Linked DNA regions of Caenorhabditis elegans. The protein of the gene in region 1 interacts with the protein of each later gene in a biochemical or structural test. Each region holds a gene or a part of one and is shown on either strand. Other genes may lie near its edges. The genes, in order: npr-22, flp-11, flp-13 and flp-7.

Evidence for each region.
Region 2: of the proteins of npr-22 (region 1) and flp-11, one has a biochemical effect on the other in vitro, tested with the Caenorhabditis elegans proteins (2 studies listed by BioGRID, with this or other methods).
Region 3: of the proteins of npr-22 (region 1) and flp-13, one has a biochemical effect on the other in vitro, tested with the Caenorhabditis elegans proteins (one study listed by BioGRID).
Region 4: of the proteins of npr-22 (region 1) and flp-7, one has a biochemical effect on the other in vitro, tested with the Caenorhabditis elegans proteins (one study listed by BioGRID).

What each region holds. Positions count from the first base shown.
Region 1 is NC_003282.8:8,557,263-8,564,442, reverse strand, and holds npr-22 (Neuropeptide receptor 22), read right to left. Parts: upstream 5,012-7,180; 5' UTR 4,976-5,011; coding exon 4,826-4,975; intron 4,446-4,825; coding exon 4,313-4,445; intron 4,165-4,312; coding exon 3,623-4,164; intron 3,193-3,622; coding exon 3,065-3,192; intron 3,007-3,064; coding exon 2,842-3,006; intron 2,708-2,841; coding exon 2,644-2,707; intron 1,768-2,643; coding exon 1,645-1,767; coding exon of another isoform or gene 1,602-1,644; 3' UTR 1,282-1,601; downstream 1-1,281. Other genes in the region: mpst-6 (thiosulfate sulfurtransferase), read left to right, coding at 1-226, 276-618, 661-839. UniProt on the Caenorhabditis elegans protein: Receptor for the LURY-1-1 and LURY-1-2 peptides which control food-related processes including feeding, lifespan, egg-laying and roaming behavior. Receptor for flp-7 which stimulates serotonin-induced fat loss.
Region 2 is NC_003284.9:4,675,991-4,680,144, forward strand, and holds flp-11 (SPLDEEDFAPESPLQ-amide), read right to left. Parts: upstream 2,133-4,154; 5' UTR 2,077-2,132; coding exon 1,997-2,076; intron 1,942-1,996; coding exon 1,775-1,941; coding exon of another isoform or gene 1,761-1,774; exon of another isoform or gene 1,706-1,760; coding exon 1,620-1,705; coding exon of another isoform or gene 1,564-1,619; 3' UTR 1,344-1,563; downstream 1-1,343. Other genes in the region: tmem-135 (Transmembrane protein 135 homolog), read left to right, coding at 1-33, 519-659, 864-1,030, 1,075-1,207. UniProt on the Caenorhabditis elegans protein: FMRFamides and FMRFamide-like peptides are neuropeptides. Induces sleep-like quiescence behavior following release from RIS interneuron. Helps to sustain locomotion stop after gamma-aminobutyric acid (GABA) induces fast slowing response.
Region 3 is NC_003282.8:7,695,652-7,700,634, reverse strand, and holds flp-13 (SPSAVPLIRF-amide), read left to right. Parts: upstream 1-2,214; 5' UTR 2,215-2,266; coding exon 2,267-2,354; intron 2,355-2,756; coding exon 2,757-2,958; intron 2,959-3,283; coding exon 3,284-3,476; 3' UTR 3,477-3,706; downstream 3,707-4,983. Other genes in the region: Inositol 1,4,5-trisphosphate receptor itr-1, read right to left, coding at 3,932-4,009, 4,067-4,746, 4,799-4,983. UniProt on the Caenorhabditis elegans protein: Probable FMRFamide-like neuropeptides. Binds to neuronal receptors such as dmsr-1 to promote sleep in response to cellular stress also known as stress-induced sleep (SIS).
Region 4 is NC_003284.9:5,883,078-5,887,751, reverse strand, and holds flp-7 (TPMQRSSMVRF-amide 2), read right to left. Parts: upstream 1,888-4,674; 5' UTR 1,886-1,887; coding exon 1,791-1,885; intron 1,675-1,790; coding exon 1,636-1,674; intron 1,584-1,635; coding exon 1,293-1,583; intron 1,246-1,292; coding exon 1,137-1,245; 3' UTR 919-1,136; downstream 1-918. UniProt on the Caenorhabditis elegans protein: FMRFamide-like neuropeptides. Stimulates serotonin-induced fat loss by binding to and activating the npr-22 receptor which leads to induction of the atgl-1 lipase and subsequent fat loss.

The DNA.
Region 1 (7,180 bases):
GAAGAACCCTGAGTACCTTGCCGAGCACATCAATGGAGCTGCTCACTTCAACTTTGACATTGCATACTATCCATCGGAGAATGAGCGGTTCACTTTGTACACTCCAGAGGAATTCTCGTCGTATGTTAAGAGATTGGGTGTATTCAACGGAGATCATTTGGTCATCTATGGACGTGGAAAAGATGGTGGTATGGCTGCTGCTTCTCGTGCTTACTGGACATTCAGAGTTAGTTTCAAAATGTATCAGAATAAATTTAAATTCTTTGTGTTTCCAGTACTATGGTTATACTACCGTATCTGTCTTGAACGGTGGTATTGAAGCATTCAAACTTGCCCAAGGTGTCGTTCAATCCGGTGAGAGCATGATCTCATCTGGAAACTATGAAGCTAAATCGGTCGACAACAACATTCTTGCCAAGATGGCTGATATTCCATTCGATAACTTGGCTAGTATCAAGTACTTGGATGCTCGTTCGAAGGAAGAGTTTATCGGAAAAGTTCCAATTGGATATCCAGACTCGAAAGCCGAAGGTGTTCGTTGCAAGGATGCGATTCACTTCCCAATCGGAGAAGTTTGTGCTGCCAAGGGATTCAAGAAGAAGACTGATTGTGATCAAGGTTAGTTGATATCATTTGCAGAAGTTAACTGAATACTTCCAGCCTTCGCCGCCAAGGGAATCAAAGTCGGAGACACCGTTGTCATTGGTTGCGGAATCGGACTCTCAGCTTCAGCTATTTGGCTCGCGGCTGCTCGTTCCGGAATCGTTGCCAAGCTGTACAATGGAGGAGTCCACGAGTTGGCTTACAAGGCGCCACAACATCTCAACACAAAGGGATAAGTGACAATCATTTCTGATTTATTTCTGCATACAACAAGTCGCTGACGGTGTTTTGTGTTTTTTGGTTTTCATATGCTTTACTTTTGTGAAGTGTATGAGAAAATTGAAGAATAAAGATTGAATGAAAATGCATAAAAATTGTTCACTTTGATTGTTTTCTTGTCTGTTTTCTGGAGTGACTATATACTTTAAATATAAGTGTCTGCCTATCAAGACTGCTTATTTCATTTTTCTTTAATAAAATACTTGCATACAATTCACGGAAAATGCATCCCTTCTAAAAATAGACAAATGCCGAATCTCTGTAAATAAACCTTCACACGTGGAACTACAAGCTTGAAACCGAAATCAATCAAATATTTATCTGAATTGCTCAGTAATTTGCCAGTTTACAAAATTTCAGTCAACTCATTGGATTCTTTTAAATCTGTCAGATGTAAATTTGTAGTATTCTAACATTTATTTCTACATTTAGTTTTGAAAAAATATTCAAATAAAATGAAAACACGCAATTTGTATGGTACAAGTTTAAAATATTGGTGATGATTCGTGGATTTGGTGGGGCGAGTATTTACCGGTATGAAAAGCGTTTCAGACAACAATTGATGTTTCATATAAAATTGTTTCTTAGGAGATCTGAGGGGTTTTTTCTTACAATACAATAAAATGGATGGAATATAAACATAATTTGTGAAATTATGCTTTAAAATACAATTTCAAATAACAAAAACCTTGAATCTATGGTCTTCTATAGCTTTCCACTCAAGTACATGGTAGATCAATTTTCTTAATGATACGGGAAAAGCTACGCGAGAGAATTGGCAGAGTTGTTTCGGACGACGACGAGTGGTCGGGCTTCGAAGAAACGTGCCGAACGACATGTTTGCCTGTCAAGGACTCCACTTCGTGAATATCTCGTAAGCGATGTCTGAAAATATTGAAAATTAGGTTGTGGCTAGGAAGAAAGTCGATGTTGTGGAAATAATCAGATTGGAAAATGTGTACTAGGCAGTGGATATAATTGAGGCGTTTAATTAATAAAAAGGGTTTAGAAGTAAAGCATTTGAATTTAAAAACTGTTTTTAAAGTTTTACTTACAAGTTCTTATGGTTCTAGGTTTCGCTAAACTTCATCGGCAAACACTTTCTCAGTAGTAGGGGTTTTCCCTCTATCATTTGGTGGCAAAATTTAGTTCGCAGTTAATTCGCGACAGGCACATAATGACTCAGTAAACAAGCACAATGATTTCATAGCAATCCTGGCTCAATGTGCTCATTATAGGCAGCTTACGAGTCGCAGTATGCGCAATGTCCGATTTTTTTGACGATGTGTAGATAAATCACTGCTCTAGGATTCTGATGGGTCCATCGCAAATTAACTGCGCTGAACGACCTAGGCTGACTTAGAAGATTTTTAATTTTGCTAATTTAACGTACCGTATTTCCTCTCTTAGTAATGCACCGGACAACTTTACTTTGTAACGTTATATATCGGTTTATTTTGAATATATCATTATATCTTTAACTACGAAATTATAGAAAAAGAACTAAAAAATATTTTGTTAGTTGACAATTTTTAAATGGAACAAATGATAACTGAGATATACACTGTCAAAGTTGAACAATGGTGTGCAATACTAAAAGAGGAAATACGATATACTCATAATTTAAAATGAAATTAACTTAATCAACATATTAGTGCATGTGAAGCAGTGCAAAATAAACTTTAAAATGTAAAAATAAAAAAGCCAAGCCAAACAAAAAGTCAAGAAGGACAAAAAACATGGGTTAGAGAACATCCTTACAGCAGGTTTTTCATCGCTTGAAGTCGGATTTATGACACCAGAAAACCGTGAACGGTTTCGAAAACTGAATGATATTGTTGAGTTATTAAAATTATCAAACTGGTTATCAACAAATAAGGTTGATACATAAATAAACTGAATTGCTCCTAACTCTTGGCTTCAATTCAAAAACAGACAACTTTGTAGAAATTGACATACCTTCTGCTAGTATTATCAGTTAAAAGACGAAGTTCTTTAAATGATATACATGGAAGAAGTTTTGAAGAGAAGAAACAGAATCCTTCACGGAAACGGGCATTTCGAATGAAATAGATAATTGGGTTGACCATTGAATGAGACATGGCAAGTCCATGAGCAAACCACCTCAAAATGCGATTTTTAAAACCAAATTATTGAGTCAGATTAAAAGAATATTTCTTACCACAAATACAGAATATATCCCCAACTGTTGATATCTGGATAGAATTCTGGAATGACGTTGATCAGTATAAGTAAAGGAAGCCAACAAAGTGCGAAGAGTGCCGAAATGAGAATCACCATTGGGACCAGCTAAAAATCTTATTTAATTAACAGGTTTCGTTTCTCACGCGGTAATATTTATTGTATTTGATAAAAATAAGTAAAAACGATATTTCAATCTACTGAACAACTTTATCAAACCGTCATGTAATAGGCAGGTAAAATGTAATAACTTCGAACTTTGATTTAATTTTTTTCAATTTTAAAGTTTCACTTAATAATGATTTGGAAAAGGTTATGTCAAAAACGATTTTTGATTATTATTTTTATGCTACACATGAGAATATTGTTCCTATAAATATAGGGGTCGGTTGACTTTGATTATGGTTATTATTATCATCACCGCACTGAGGAGCCATTGATTGTTGCATTATTTCCATATTCTTATTATTCTAATAAATCAAAACTGGGAGTTTTTGAAAGGTTAGGCTTAAATTTTTAATAATTCCAGAAATCTCACCTTTTTGACACTTTCATGTCGATCAACGATCATTTTCTTTGTTGCTCCATTCTGCATTCCTGGTACTCGACTATTCCACATTTTAATTCCAATATGTGTGTAAGTTATTATTAAAACTGCTTGAGGTACAACATATTGTAGAATTAAGACCATTGAAGAATACACTTTTCTCACTTGTTCTCCAGAATCTCCAAAATACGTCCAATTTTCTCCACAATTCGGTAAACCGTCTTGGTCTTCGAAAAATCTCGTTGTGAAGAGTAACGGCAACGCCATTAGGATACTGAATATCCACGTGGCAGCTACCAGATAAAGAGCTCTTCGTCTTGTAATTCGAATATTTGGAGTTAAAAGGAACATTATAGCCATCCACCGATCAAAACTGATAACGACAAGTGTCCAAGCTGATAAAAATACAGCCATTGCTTGAAGGAATGCTAATAAAGAGCACATCATTGAGCCGAAGAGCCAACGTTGATCATCATAAATCAATACTTGCCAATAGCTGAACGGAATGCAGAATACTGATATGAGAAGATCAGCTGCAATTTTAGTTGTTTTTTTGGGAAATTTGCTCAACATCTTAGATTAATTAATTTTTTAAACTTATCCATTTAGAAGCTCATATAAGTTCTGGAGATTTGAAAAATTATAAAAAGTTTTCAAAAATTCAAAAGTAACAAAACCCACCAACTGCCAAGTTCAATATCAAAATATTAGTCGCCGTTCGAAGTCGTTTAAAATAAACAATAACCAGAATAACGAGCACATTTCCATAGACACAGCATACGCAAAGTATACTATAGAAAAGAATACATAACATCTGTAAAAAATTAGTAATAAATAGGTACAAATATTAAAGGTAATAATGTAGTAATTTTATTCATTTTTTACACTTAAAATGGCCTCTAAAAATTATACCGAATTTTAATAATGATAGCACTTGAAAAATTTTCAAAACTTTTTATTTACGGTTCAAGTTTTGAAGAAAACGCTATCATAAATTAACTAAAATAAAAGTACATGGCACGTTAAAATCAATTTTCAGCAGGTAAAATTGGCTAAAAACATGGCCAAATTGCCTAAATATGAAATGTAAAAAAAACTAATTTTAGTTCCTTTTTTCAAAGTTTCAAAACTCTTGTAAAATTTGGATTTTTAGATATACTTTGAATGTATAAGAATATTTTTTAAAAGTCTCACCTTCATACTTGGTGTCAAATGATAAATATGATTCATTTCTTGAACAGCTGGATTTTCAGTTGTCGTCGGTTCGTTTCGCATCATAATTTCAGAGGCTGTCGTCGTGATTCTGGAGAGCAAACTGCTTCCAATACCCCCTCCTTCGTCCATATTTGCTCACGAATTAGATGACGAATCGTTCGATCTGAAATTTAAAACAATTTATTCGGAAAGAGTTTGGGGAAGTGTTCCAAATAAGGAAGACCACTTGTTCATAGAAAACCGAAAATTAAAAACAAAGAAAAAGAGAACATATTTCGGAGAAATAAATGAATATGAAGAAACCAAGAATGTATTTTCTCGCACATTTTTTAGATCAGAAATGTTGAAAGAGAAACCTTCAAATTTATGAGAATGTAGGAGAAGGATAATATTAAGAAAGTGTATCAAATTTTGTTGTTTGAAATTGATTAAAAAGTAAATTTCTATAAAGTGAAAAATTATATAAACGAAGAAGGTCAATTAGCAGTTGGAAAAATAAGGCAAAGATCAAACAAGATTTTTTTGTGATTCTTGGGTTTTCGGAAGCAAAGTATGAGAGAATTAGAGGAACATAGGATGCTCGCAATGATATTTGGATGTTTGTTGACCTCGAAAAATGACTATAGTCTTTGCGGTTTTGTAGAAAAAAAAATATAATGTTTCCGAATCCAGAAAATTTGTTAAAAGTGTGGTATATTCGAAAAATAATTCTTTTGGGAAAGTCCAGTGGGAATTAAAAAAATATATGGCAAAAGTATAGGGAAGGGAAAAACTTGAAGAACTATCCTATTTTTCGCACAAGGATGATTGGGGAATGATTACAAAATGCAGAAGTGATAGTTTTTGATTAATAAATAGGTACATTGTAACCGAAAAATCCAGAAGGTAGGCTGCTAATATCTGTTTTCGAAATCAAAATTAATAAGATGATTTCATCTGAAAATGTGGCAAACTTTCTTGAAATCTGCCATGTTTAAATAGTGATATAGTGATAGTAGTATCTAGTGATCTGTAGTGGTCCCATTTTGACACATGATCCATCAATTTCAATGAGAAAGGTCAAATCAGCCAGACATGTGTTGTATTAGTTTACAAATGAACTTTGCAAGATAACAGGAATTTATGGAAGAAAAATGTTGGAAAAATGCGTGTCTACCGAAGTTTTAGACATGAGTAATATGATCATACGATAGAGTACAAGTACAATATGAATACTTGAATAAAGTACAAACTTTTATTGCAGGGTTAGAGCACGTGCTAAAACTTGAGAAACTTGAACAAAATCAAGTAAAAGAAAATTGTTACAGATTCTTTAAACCGAAGTTTTCCAATTGTATTGTGCTAATTGTATGTTCCAATAAAGAAACTCTAGCTAACTGTTAATTATAAAAATTTAAGATTTTGGATACGCGATTGGTTTCTAGAATTTAATCGAATGAAAGATTACCGTCGTTTTATCGTATTCTTCAACACTATATCTCAATAATTTTAGCTGAATTTAATTCTTATTTGTCTATTTTTTTGTAGAAAAAACTATTGACCAGATAGGACAAAAAAAAACTGAAATTTATTAAAATATGTCTAAAATATGTTTCAATGATGTTATAATCAGGAAATGATAAGGTAGACCTCAGTACATATGACACCTTTCACGTTATTAGCAAGAATGTACATAGATATCTCAAGATTCAGATAGATTACGTCATCACGGCATGAAAATGTCTCAAATGTACATCTCAATTAGCATAAAAATAATTTCTAGAATTTCTGAAAGAAAAAGGAGAAGTATATAAAAATAGGAATAAGAACACCACATCCTTGCAAAATGAATAATAAATAATAAATAATTAATATTGAGTCAACAGAAATGTGTCTGGATGTAGTGCGATGTTGTGAAAAAAACAAGATAAAGTTGACTGAAAATAAGAAAACATTCATGTCAAGTAAGCTTCAAAACTTTGGAAAAGTCTTCGCTTTTTGGAAGTCGTCTATGGCAAAAAGTGGCAAAAACTCAGTAATTGCCACTTTTAAACTGTCAATAAAAATTTTCACACTTTTTATTTTGAAAAGTTGTATTTGAACATTTTGGCATCATAGGAATGGTTTTTGACAACTTCTCCACATCCACCTTCAAAAAAGAAAAAAAGATAAACATTTATAATCAATTCTCCGAACTTAAAATTTATTTTGTTTTACTTCACTCTTGTTTCATTCACAATCAGGTTTCAAACATTACAAGACAGATTCAGAAAGCTGTTGAATAATTTTTAAAAAAGTTCAAAACCCAAGTGCATTCTGCTCAAAAAAAACTTTCGAAATTCAATGAAGAGCAAA
Region 2 (4,154 bases), on another chromosome or scaffold:
CTCTTTGCAGGCTTTTTACCATTTATTTTCAATGTAAGTTTATTGGATAGTAGAAAAAAGTAAAAAATTGTAGTCTCGAATAATTTTTCACAGGGTATTTTTAAACTTACAATACAAATTGTTGTGAAGTCGTTTTTCAGGAACAGACTAGTGTGCAACTATTAGAAAAACTGGAAAAGTTACAATTGTCTAGTTTTTTTGATAACATAAGTGGCTGAATTATGTTTAAATTGCTTTGCGAAGTGTACGATTTTTTTTTATTTTTCGGTATATTAAGTCAGTATACCGCAGTTATCAGAATTTAGAGGTGCAATATTTTTGAAGTCGGACAATTTTGCATTTATAAAAATGTTTCCTGTCAATCCCGGGTGCCGCATTTTTTTTTGCAAAATTTGCAACTTTTCGCGACTGGTTAAGAAACTAGCGACTTTAATTTCAACTAAACTTTATTTATTAAATTTTAGAATCTAGTAAATAGTTTTTTCAGTATAAATTTACTTACTCTCAAACAATTCTAGGCTACTCGATGCTCTTTAAATCGGGTTAAATACGTTCCTCCGGTGCTCAATAATGTATTTTCTGCTGGTTTGGCATCAGTTGCAATGGCCTTCTATCCCACTGTCAGTATTGCTATGTATTGTCTCTGGAAAGCAATTGAGGTATGATATTTTGCTCCTCGTTTAAATTTCCTAGCTGCAAACAGCGTAAGCTTCTAAAAATAAAGCTCTGAAACAAAGAAGATGTGAATTTTGATGAGCTGCTCGACCGGGGTGGAATCCCAAATGTGAAAGGCGGGCTTCCATGGTGATATCCTGACGACAGCGAGGTGATCAGCGCCAACTCCCTTCATGACATTTTTTCAGACGGTATATTTCGATCTAGTTGATCGAGGTTATTTGCCAAAATTCAAAAATGGAGAAGTAATTCTTTACGCAATCACGACGGGTTACGTTTTATGGAACGCTGTTGTTGAACCTAGAGCAATTCGAAGAGGATACCTCAACTTTCTTTTTGGACTTGTTGGTGGAAAGTAAGGATCTAACTAGCTGTAACAACTTGACTTTTTCATTGCAGGATCTCGCTTTTCAATCGACGTCTCTACGATCATTTTGGCTTTGTTTCTCGAGATGTTTACACGAAAATTCCAGAATTCGATCCTAAATATGCAATGATTAATCCTATGCTTTACATGCCACTTGTTGAATAGTTTTTGATCTAATATTTGAAAAAAAACAGGTGTAATATAAAAAAAATAAATTTAATTTTTAATTTGAATTTTCCGATTCAGATTTTAGAATTTAATTTTCTTTTGTTCACTATCTGAAAATGTGAAAAAAATAAACAAAGTGATTTTGCGAGTAATTAACAACGCCTTTATTGTTCATAGACAGAGCATAGAAATATCAGAAAATGTGTGTTGTTAGCTGATAAAAAACACCAAAAGAGATCTGGGGAGATAACTTTCCTTCGGAGGGAAAGGGGGGTTAAGCGACACCAATCAAATTCTAGACAGCAAGAGAGAGTATGAAAAAAGAGAGTGTGAGAGAGAAAAACATATGATTTTTAATGATGAATTCGCCTCAGGAGTTGTTCGAGCAGAAGACGGTCGTCCTCGGTCATTACTTGTTGTTGGCGAACTTGAGCTTCTGAAGAGTCGACAAAAGGTCGTGCATGTGGTCGAGTTGACCGGATCGGCCAAAGCGAACTGCAAAGCAAAATAAACGACACATGAAGCAAAGGCAAAAAGCGGAAGAAAAATTTTAAGACAACTTACCAAATGGTTGTGGGGCACCGTTCCGTTTTCCCTGGAGTGGGCTCTCTGGAGCAAAGTCTTCCTCGTCCAATGGAGACCTCTTTCCGAATCTAACGAGAGCATTTCTCATTCCACCACTAGCTCTTCCAAATCGAACCAAGGCGTTCCGCATGGCACGTTTCTCCGCACTACAATAGATTTATATGGGTAATTGATAAAAATTGTTTTAAGAAAAAACTATACCTGACGTCATCATAAGATTGAGCAAAAGAAGCGGCAACGAAGACAATAAGGAGAAGTGCCAATGCAGAGAATTGAGTCATTATTCAGTATGAACTGCAAAAAGTGAGACGAGCGGCTAGGCGCAGTCTTTTTATACCTGAAACGATGTATTAGGAGGGGGCGTTGTAGATTCCGAAGAGAAAGCAAATAGCCGCAGGACATACTTTATTACTATTTACAAATGGTTTGATGAGTTTTGAACGTTTTAATGAAAAATTTGCGAAATGGATTCTTCTCAAGGAAACTTCTTATGGAAAATAGGATGATGTCAATGGTTTCCAAAACGAAACCGAAGTGTAGGGTGTCTTTGGGCTTTTCAAAAGCAAGAAGTGAATAGATCAAATGCAGGTGTTCTGCGCTCTGAAACGTTCCACAGGCCACGCCTACTTGTGTGTGTGTGTGTGTGAGGAAACTGAGAAAAACGCAAGCAAAAAAGTCATCTTGAAAATAGCATTAAATTTCGGAAAGGAAGGAAAAGCTAGTTTTGCTTTTTTTAATAATGGAAAAAGTACTACAAAATGTGTACAATATTTTGTGAATATTTTGAGGACGCTTGTTCTAGTGTTCTTGAATTTTTAATTTAGAATTGTTATGAAGTTTTTATTCATTTCCAACAGATGCAGAGATTTTCTATACAGAAAACATTCTAATAATTATAATGTATATTTAAAAATTAAAACTTGCAAAAAAATTTCTTGAAAATTTACCAATTTGCCAAAACTTTAATTGAAAATTGTTGTAAAATTTGAAAAAGTTTGAAGTGTTTTATTAATACGTGTCTGGTTTTTTGGAAACATTTTACTTGGTCCAGCACTTTAACTGGCACTTCTCCCAATAAAAGATCGGTTTATTTCCAAAATGCGTGCCTAACTGTTATACCAAACAAATAAAGTTTTTTAAAAATCGGCAGTTGCCGCAAATTTCGCATTGTGTGCCGATGTGCCAAAATTGCCAGAATTTTTGATAATTTTTAATTTTCATCATATTTCAAAAATTAAAAATATATCAAAACTTGATTCAAAGTCATAATCAATAGGTCATTTTCTTACTGAAATACCTAATATTTTGAGGTTTATTGTTTAGCTAAATCACCAGTTCCGGCAATTGTTGGACTATAAACTTTTGGCAATATGCCGAAACTGCCGAAATTTCGACGCACTCCTGTTTACAGAAGATTGAAAAAAAGCAGAATTAGAAGTTTTAAAGTTGAGATATTGGTCAGAAAATCGATTTCATTTTTACGAAAAAAATATTCCAAAAAGTCACAATGGAAAGTTTGAAAAATGACCCGTATTTATATATTCGTGTGTCCTTGTTTGACATGAAACCTTCTTATCGTTTTTCAATCTCCCCCACTTTTGCACTTTTTTGAAAATCTTTCTTTACAAGAAGACGCACCTTGCAAAAAGTGCGCTCAAACACTGATTATGCCAAGCGAAACATGGGTGTGAAACTAGAAAAATAAATTAGATGCAAAATGGATTCGTCTATGCTTTTTCCTCAAATATTAAATGAGTTTACATCACTTGGCGCCGGGATTCGAACATCATAAATTTATGAGTTAGAAGATGCCCACGAAGGTAAGATGCGGAAATATTTGACACGTCAGCAGGTTGTTAAGTTTCGTCGTCACAGTTTTGCATCTTTTCGTATTTTAACTTATATTTTATAATCTTATATTCAATGGAGTGTGGGTGTTTGTGGGTGGAACCAGGATTGAGGATGCTAAAAGTTGTGGGGGAATTACTCTTAACAGATTGAAAAATGAAGTGCGAAAAGATATGAGGAACTCTACTGGAACTGATGGGCCATAAAACCATGAAAACCTCTCTCACCCCATTCATCAACTTTAGAGGCTCAACATTTGGAAAAAAAAGGTTTGGGCTTTTGGGATACTTGTTTTTCTTTCTCCAGATCTTTCCAACTTTGGGGAACTAGTAAGCCACAATGGTTTCATAGAACTTGATGAATAGTCAGAGGGAACAATGAAACCTACAATGAATCGAACATCAAATGAAACTTGATATGAATAAATGATAAGATCACTAGTGGAACGGAAACTGGAATTAAAGCCTAGACCAACTTACATCATCTTTTTTCATTTTTCAGTCTGAGCACA
Region 3 (4,983 bases), 860 kb from region 1:
TCCATTTCTCCATACTTCCTTTTCACTTCCTCCATTTGGCGGAAGGTGGGCGGTCCTCCCGCCGAAACTTGATCTCTTTTTTATTTTTAAGAAGATCCTTTATGTTTTTTATATTGACGTTTACTTTTTTTTTGGAAGAAAGTGGGTGAACTACAATCAGATTATTTTTATGCTCCGCGAAAATTTAATCATGATCAAATGTGATATATGATGATAATTTGGGAATAAAAAAGTGGAGGTGGAACATAATTTGTGTTCTTACGGACTATAATTTATTTGATATAAAACATCATTATTTCACTTGTTGCAGTCAAAATGTTCAGACTTGCAACCGCTTTTTTCTTTAACCCCATTTAAATAGGTCATTTTGAAACTGAAATTTTAGATATCAATGTAACAATTTTCAGAAAATCATGAAAATGAGAAAATAACACTGAATCTCAATTTTTTCTAACTAGCCGTTTATTAATTAAAACTGTAGTAGCATTTTAGTCGGCATTTTGTGTCAAAACAAATTCATTCTTGTATTTTTTTTTAATGCAGTCAATATCTTAGTAAATTGCCAAATATACGAAACCTATGGAGCGTTTCTGAGGAATTCAGAACACTAGAACACTGTTCAATCCTTGCTACATTTAAATACAGGGTGGGCCAAAAGTATGGTAACACGTTTGCAGCTCTATAACTTTACTAGTGGAGAGAGTTATTACATCAATTTGTACAAGGTTTGTTCTCCATAAAATACTGACCAGATGAACGTTTTGAATTTTCAAAATATTCCCATCCGCATCGCTGCAGGCCTTCAGAACTTTTGAGATCACGACCTTTATGGCACGCAAGTCGGCATTCTGCGGGATTTCTACATTTTTCTCAAGGAATCCATCAAGTGTCTTACAAGTTTTTATAGTTCAAAGAATGCTCTTGGTCTAGAGATTTTTTAAAAACAAAAATCCAAATAATTTCTATCACGGTATTTCTGTCATGGACTGCGGCAGTAGGTTAAGTCTTGAATGGCATAGTCGCCAGAAAGATGGATGTGAGCGGCGAGTAGCAGTATGCAGAAAAATTCATTTTAGTATTTTTCGAGACGTTTTGACCTGACTTTCCAGAATTTTTTTAGAAAATTGAGCTCGAATGATTTTGTGGGTCGTTACGCCTTGCGAAACCAAAAAAACTGAGTAAATTTCGCAAAGTTGAATTCATGAAAAATTCAAAGGTTCTGGCGCCAGTGTCGACACAGAAAATTTTTGTATGCTACAAAAACAATCAAAAACGCTTCTTCACTTCTTTAACTTTAAATTTAACATAAAAATCATACATCTGAAAATTATTGGCGTGCGTGGGAGGTGTGTTTGTGTGGGAAGTGCCGCGTGCCAAATTACCGTTTTTTCGAAAGGGTTCGCCAAATTTTCGAGGTGATAAAGATCGCACCTTATTGGGAAACATTACAAATTTTGAGTCAAATTGAAGGAAATTTATTCAGCTATCAGTGTTTGATAGAAGAATGTGCGTATGACGTGGCAGTCGCGCGAAAAGCTCATGTAAAAGAACGCTTCATGTGTTACCATACTTTTGGCCCACCCTGTATAAATCGTGAAAACATAATTAGATTATAAAAGTAAAAGTCGCCCGGTTTCGATTATGGTTGGCAAAATCTGAGTAATCGCTACTTTTTTTTGATTGCAATTAAAAATAAATTCTGACACCTTTTAAAAACATGTACCATGATATTTTTTAAACGATTTCGCGACTTGGACTACATCTTTTGAACTCCAATATTATCAGTTCCGAAGTGTGATGTTGATGTTAACATAATGACATTTACAACGTATTCTGATTTCTTTGAATATCTTCTCGAACTCTCGAGACACATCTGTTCAGATTCCAGTTGACTTGTCACATTTACGCATTTCCCTCCTCCATTCTTTTATTTTGTTTCTATTTCTTGCGTAAATCTGATTAAAATCGAGAAGTAGGCGCGCATTTTCTGTCTTCACCTTTTGACTATAAAAGTACTCTACAAATATTGAACAACACTTTTTAAAAGTTGTAGTAGTTATTGGCCATCAGGAATTAGGAGGTCAGTTGCAAAATCATGCATCTTTTAGGATTAAAAGCTTAAATCTTGCTCATTCATTTCCTGTCTTATTTTGAAGTTTTTCTCTCTTCCAACGCCTCCCACTGTGACTACTATCATCTATTATTATCTTGTAGGGATTCCTCAATTTCCAGACACCCTCAAACTCGGCCCCGTTCCGATTCGAACATGATGACGTCACTGCTCACTATCTCAATGTTCGTCGTCGCCATTCAGGCCTTTGATTCGTCGGAAATTCGAATGCTCGATGAACAATGTGAGTGTTTGTTGTTTTTATATTGTTTTAGAACTTTTTAGAACAAGCTTATACTCATTGAGAACTGGATTGAAATGTTATATGTTTTTTAAAGTATTTCAAGTACAAATTACTTTTGAACATACTTTGATCAAAACTATAGTTAAAAAAAACTTGGCTATCTTCATTTCGTATTCTTGAAGTTTGTAGTACACAGAAAAAAATGTCTTTAATCCAGATGGATCCATTTCTCCTGACTTAAAAATTAGAGTCTGTAGAATTCTCAGAAGTCATTAGGACTTGATGAAATCTGAATCGTAAACAAATGTTTTTTAAAGCTATCTAATTTATTTTCTAAATAAAAAACATAAATATCTGAACTCTGAACGAAATTCAATATCCGAAAACAAATGTCTATTTCAGATGACACGAAGAATCCCTTCTTTCAATTTCTCGAAAACTCAAAACGAAGTGATCGACCGACTCGTGCAATGGATTCTCCACTGATCCGTTTTGGCAAAAGAGCTGCTGATGGAGCACCACTCATCAGATTTGGTCGTGCTCCAGAAGCATCTCCGTTCATTCGTTTTGGAAAGAGAGCTGCCGATGGGGCTCCTTTGATCAGGTAACTTTCAACCCTTCTTAAAAATTATACTCCCACAGCTGCTTCCGAATAGAAGAAACAGTTTTAACTTCTATAACGGCAAATTGCATAATCCCATTTAACTGTCAGTCTTTTCAATATTTCAAAAAAATTAAGATTGCCTAAAATTTGTCTACGCCACTTTTGAAATTCAAGATATAAAAATTCAATATTTTTCCTATTCCTGATTATTGAATTGAAGTGCAACAGTTTTGTTTTTAACTCCTCAAAGTTACCGTTTCAATAGCAATCCAAAATACATAACCTGCATTAGAAAACCATCGTGATATCTGTACTTCATTTCTAGATTTGGCCGTGCTCCAGAAGCTTCTCCATTCATCAGATTTGGCAAAAGAGCATCTCCATCAGCTCCATTGATCCGTTTCGGACGTTCTCCATCAGCCGTACCACTCATCCGTTTTGGCCGATCTGCAGCTGCTCCACTTATTCGCTTCGGACGTGCTTCATCAGCTCCTCTCATTCGTTTTGGCAGAAAATAAATTCACTTTTTGATCTTTCTTTGTGTGTGTGTGTGTTTGTGGTTCATTTTGGATCTCATTTAGTCGACGATTGTGTGTCTACACCTATTTCCTTCCTTCACTGTCTTTTCCCCAAACACTCTTCTTCCCCCAACCAATGTTCATTTTCATTTTGGCTCTACTCATGCATTTCTTCATCTTCTTCTTCGACGTCTTGAATTCACAAAAATGAATTGTTCTATCCGGTTGTTAATACTTTCAAGCAAAATTATTTTATTTGAAAATCAAACTTAGATAAAGACGAAAAAATAAAAATACGTTGAAGACAGGTAAAAAAAAACATTGAAATACCGGTTTTGAAAACGACTAAACAGGTTTTGTGACGAGAAAAGGGAAAACAATCACAGGGTTATAAATATGGGTTTTGGAAAAAGAAACAAATAAAAATCTATCCAATAAATCTATTTTCAGTAGGTCTAACGAGGCTGAAATTGTTCCATGAAAGCCCGAGATTCTTCATTTTGACTGATGATCTCTCGCATAAGGGTCATCATCTGAAATTTAAAGCATTTTAAAAAGATTTTAAGATTAGAAGTAGTCAAATAGTTTACCTGCAACAACTGATCCTTCATTTGTTTAACTTCCGATTGATCTGTGTCTAATTCTGAATCTTGTAACGACAATGCCTGCATTCTTGGGAACCAGTCCAAATTCCGATCTTTAACACATTGTGCCACGTAGCTTTCGGGTCCTGTGAACTCAGTTTCATCCTTAATTTGGAGCATCACAATGTAATACAAATAATGCCAAATATTGTGCTCCGTTTCTCGATGTGTTTCAAAAGTCACTGATCGGTTGTCAAAACGAGATCTATCTAATCCACAAATGAAACAGTTGTTTTTCAAAATTTGTTCTTTCTCGTTTTTCTCGGCTCTCAAATCTCCGAATGTGTCGATGATGACTCCGAAAATCAAATTGAGAACAATAACGATAAGAACAACAAAGAAAGTCATATCATAAGCAACTCTCCATATGAACATATCTTCCCATGGAGCTGGATTCCTGAGTACATCACCAATTCCTCCACCGTTACGAAGTCCTTGATATCCAGTTTGAAGTATACACATCCATAATGTTTCACAAGATTTTACTTTCTTCTCATCATCATTGTCATCTTTTTCTGATGGTTGTAATCCTGGGCATCCTTCTGATGGGCACGTTTCTGATGGTATTCCGGATGAAATTGTTGCAGATGAATCATTTTCAACTGGATCAACTTCCAAATAGAAATCTGAAAGTTTTAGAAAATATTTGGGAACTTAATTGAAACCAAAACAACTTACCATGCCTGAAATACAAGAATCCCAATATGGAGAAAAAGTAAAGAAGAATCAGAGCAAGTAATCCAGTCCAAACGATTGATTGATAGTTCCTTGTAACCGAAGCAATCACATTTTGAAGTGTCTCCTCTGTGAAAATTATATCAAAAAGCAGTATGCAGTATATCATCGGATGCACCAAAAGACCC
Region 4 (4,674 bases), on another chromosome or scaffold:
CCCCCTCAGCTCGTACTGGATGATAATCTGTTGAACATAGTTTGTGTGGTTAAAATAAACAGCAAAATAAAATAAACAGCAAAAAAAAATTTATGTGAAAAATTGTATGGCTAAAACAAGGAGAATTGTTCAAAATTTCTCAAAATTTCCAATATCTGATTATTTGCCAAAATTTTTTTTTTAATCTGAGGCATCCTCTATCCCAATATAACTTTAGATAATACTCCTTCTAGTTTTGTTCCGTTTGAGGTTTCCGATCATTTTGATATTATTACAACTTCCCGTCTGTTCTGACTATTACTAATAAAAAGTTATCTGACATAATATAAACAACTGCAAAAAAAATTAACCCATTCCAGAAAATTATATCGAAAAATTTACCATTGTCGGTTTGAAATTTATTAGATTTAGGCTTTCTCAATAAACCTCTATTATCCAAATACGTATATTTCTGATTTTCAGGAAAACGAGCGGGTGACCATGACCAAAAAGCTCTGTATGATTTATTGCCGTAGGGATTGAGAAGCCTTTACAATGTTAATAATCATTTTGGATTATTTTCTGAAAAGTTCAACTTAACTCATACGACGCTCTCCTAGGAGAGTCGATGCACTTTGAAATAAAGTTAACAACTTTTAACGTTATAGGGAAAGGCGCGAGATCAGGCTTTTCTGTAGCTGGGCAGGTTTGATCATATTTGAATACTGCAGCGAATGAGTGGACATGAAACCAGGCTCGGGACACAATGCTTTATGGCGCGAAACTAGTCCAAAAAGCAAAAAATGTACATTGTTTTTAATCAACTTACCAGACTCACCGTATTAGCCATTCTGAACAATTTTCCTGTTTTTTATAGTTTTATTTTTTTGAAATCCTCTCATCCTTTGCATTGCATGAATTTAAGATGAAGGACTGGAAAACAGGCGTCGGTTCTTTATTTTGCAAATCGCAAATTAATTTTGATACACTGGAGTATTTGGGTAGCGACCAATCTGTACTATTAGTCAAGTGGCACAAAAATAATTGTCAAAAAAAAATACATAAATGAAAAAGGTAAGAATAGGCCGTAGAACGAGATTAAACTACAATGTGAGACCGTTTTGTTCTTGGTAATCAAGGTGTTTGCATGTACTTGTTTATTCGCTGTCCTCGATGTTCTTCTCGTTTGATTGCATCTCAAATTCCATCGAACGTTTGCCAAAACGGACCATCGATGATCTCTGCATTGGTGTCCGTTTTCCGAGTCTGAACTTCAGCTTTATTCACAAAATACTTTTCACGTCAATACGTACCGAACCATAGAAGCGCGATCAATTGATGATCTACCAAATCGGACCATTTTCGATCGGTCCATAGGTGATCTTCCAAAGCGAACCATAGCCGAACGCTCCATCGGTGAACGTTTTCCAAAACGCACCATTGAAGATCGTTGCATTGGCGACCGTTTTCCAAAGCGAACCATTGAGGACCTTTGCATTGGCGAACGCTTTCCGAATCTAACCATGGATGAGCGTTGCATTGGTGACCGTCCGAACCGAACCATTGATGAGCGTTGCATTGGAGTACGCTTTTGCTCGTCAATTCTAAAAGTGCATAGTGTGAGAATAAAGTTTTTTCTGAATAATAACAACTCACAAGTCCTCCTCTGAGAGTTGCTCTCCTGACTTCTCGAGTCTGAAAAATATAAAAAATAGAAAAAATAGGAGTTCATTCAGAATAATAAAATAAATTTATTCACTCAACAAATCACGACAACAAGAACAACATAATATCAATAAATCTCAACTCACTCAGTTGGTTCTTGAACTTGTTGTTCGGCTGATTCCTCGGCCAATACCAAAACTAGGAGACCAAGAGCAAGAAGAAGGAAGCGGGATCCAAGCATTTCTAAAAGTCTTTGAATGAAAACGAGATGGTATTTTTCGATGACGTCATGTTTCCAAACATGACGCGGAGTGGTTTAAAAATTGAAATTTCAATCGAGAAAAAATGAGGAGAAAAGTTGAAAAGTCAAAAAAAAGAACCCTTCTTTGAGTGTTGGCAGAGGGAAATTCAATTTGTAACTTGAACTGCAAATTGGATTCAAGATTGAGTGGATTGCACAAGACCAAGCAACAGTAATCAAAAAATTTGTATTTGACAATTTACTGAAAAGAAAACTGATGACGGGGCAAAATAATCACAATCAGAAACGCAATAGAAGCTGCTATCCATACTTATATACGCTTTCATATTCCTGAGCTCGAGAAAGGCTCATGCTCCACCCCCTTCTTCTCATGCCTTCTAACCTTGTCTGATGCTATGACTCCGCCTTCGTCCAAACAAAAACTGGAAATCGGAACAAGGAGAAAAAATAACACCAAAAAAAAAAAAAATCAAAATTAGGTTGGAATCCATTGAGATGGTTGGCTATTTTTGCTAAAGACGCATTAGCCCGATTAAAAAAATCCAAGTTCACAGAGCAATCAAAGTGAATTATACGGATCTTGGGACACTTCATTATTCACGCGGTCCATCTCTGTTTGATTGTGTCGGGTATTTTAGGATACTAGCAAGCACTCTCCAGAAGAGCAAAGAGAAAGATGTTTGAAACCTTTTGAGCGGTCAGTTGAGAATTTAGGAGGAAGTGTTAGAAGAAGGCAAAAATAAAAATTAATTCAACAAATAAGTTTCCAAAAATTTTGTATGTATTACTTAGACACAAAGTTATCCGTACTGATGTACGTTGAAATTTCAATTTATAAATTTAGGTATTATTAAAACTATTATCAGGCTCTTCAACCTATAAAAAAGTCATTTTGGAGCCTGAAAAAAAATTATAAAATATATTATGTTTAATTGAAATGAATAAATGAATGAAAGTTCAATTTATTTTTAAACGGGGGTTGTGATGCACAAACACATATTTATCTAGTCCTTTTTATGTAAAATATTATAAGAGTCGCATAACAAAAATAATTTTAAGTACATTACAATACAGCTTCAAGATTAAGAAAATCAAAAAATGACGTTTTTTTTCAATTGTGGATACTGAAGTTTTTTAAGTTCAATTTTGTTCAAAAACTAGTTTAAAATAAAAAAAAAGAAATTTCGGTCAGTTTTTCTTTTGATCATTGATTGTGAAATGTAGAGTTTAAAATAGTTTCAGATAAAAAACTTAAGTACAATAACAGGTCTTGACACGAGTTTTCAATAAATAATGTAAAACATACTTTTTGCTCTTTTTCAAAGTATGTTAAAAATTGTTGAAACCAAGTACCATATCTATAAAACATGTGGTTTTGTGAATCTGGGTGATATGTCATATTACGTATGTACACTTATTGTAGATGCGTTTGAGTATTTTTGCAAAACCCTTTCAAAAACATTCCATAAGTATTTTATAGAATCACCTGTGCATTTAATTTCAAACGTTTCCTCAATTATCGTAACTCGAGCAAAAGATGTGAGAGATGCCAGAAGAGAAGCTGCTATTTCATAGAACTCTAAGTTTTTGAACTACTTTAAGTAACTTTTCCAGACACAACCAAGCTATTAACTTTGTTCACAATAAATGAAAACACGTGGGCCAACAATTCCGAAAAAATTGAAAATTTATACGGCGAGTTGTAAGTCTTTGTAAAATGACGAAGAAAACTTACAACTAATGTTACCGATATAATCTTAAGTCTACGTCAAAACGGAAATTAAGTCGCTGCTGCAATGAAATTAAGAATTCTAGAAAAATTGAAGGCGGAAAAGTTGAAAAGTTGAAAGTTTTTGTCAGTTTCCACACGTAATTTCTAGTTTATGAAACTACAATTGTTAAATCATTTTGACACTTTGATCACATGGTTATATAGGCTCCAATTTTGCTTTTTGTTTCGCTCCAAGAAACTTTCAGCTCTCGCATCACTATAAATGATCATGAATTTATTCAAGCAACACTAATAAATAAACATAGAAAATATGCCTTATCAGAATTCGCTGTTCTTTGACCGTATTCAAGGTTTTTTTTTCGCTAGAAACATGTATGATTAAATTTGTTTAACATTAATCGACGTAGTAGTTTTTAATAAGGGTAAAAAATTTATTCCGATTTCTTAGAAAATTACTTTGTTTTATTTTTCGTGGCAACATGTACTCCCAAAATAAATTGATTTATAGCTAACAGCGAGGGTTTTTTGGAGAACTCCTGGAAAAGCGGGTTAAAGAAAAATGAGCAACAAAAATCAGAAAAAAAATAAAAAAGAAAAGAATGAAGATGAACACTTGACAGTTGAAAAATTGTTTTGAGATGTTGGAGATTTGATTTTCATATTTTCATAGTTCGCCATCAAAATGTCAAGCTTTTAGATTTTATTTTTAGTTTTTATAGTGAGAAATCAAAATATTTTTCTGTGCGTAAAGCTTTCTAAATTCTAGAAAAACGTTTGGCACTTGAAATATCTTTCCGAAGTGCACTTCTTAGAGTACTGCTGATCAACATGTAGTAGTTGTCATCTACTCATAGTTTTTATTGAAATCATAACGTCATGTTTATTTTATTTTTTGATTCAACTGCGACAAGGGAATTCATGTTGAATAGAATAAAGTCAAAAATGGGCACCGATATGAGTAATACTAGCCTGTTTTTATGAGGATGCGGGGGAAGAAGCAGTTTTTGATTAGAACGTGAGAAGCTCATTGAGCATG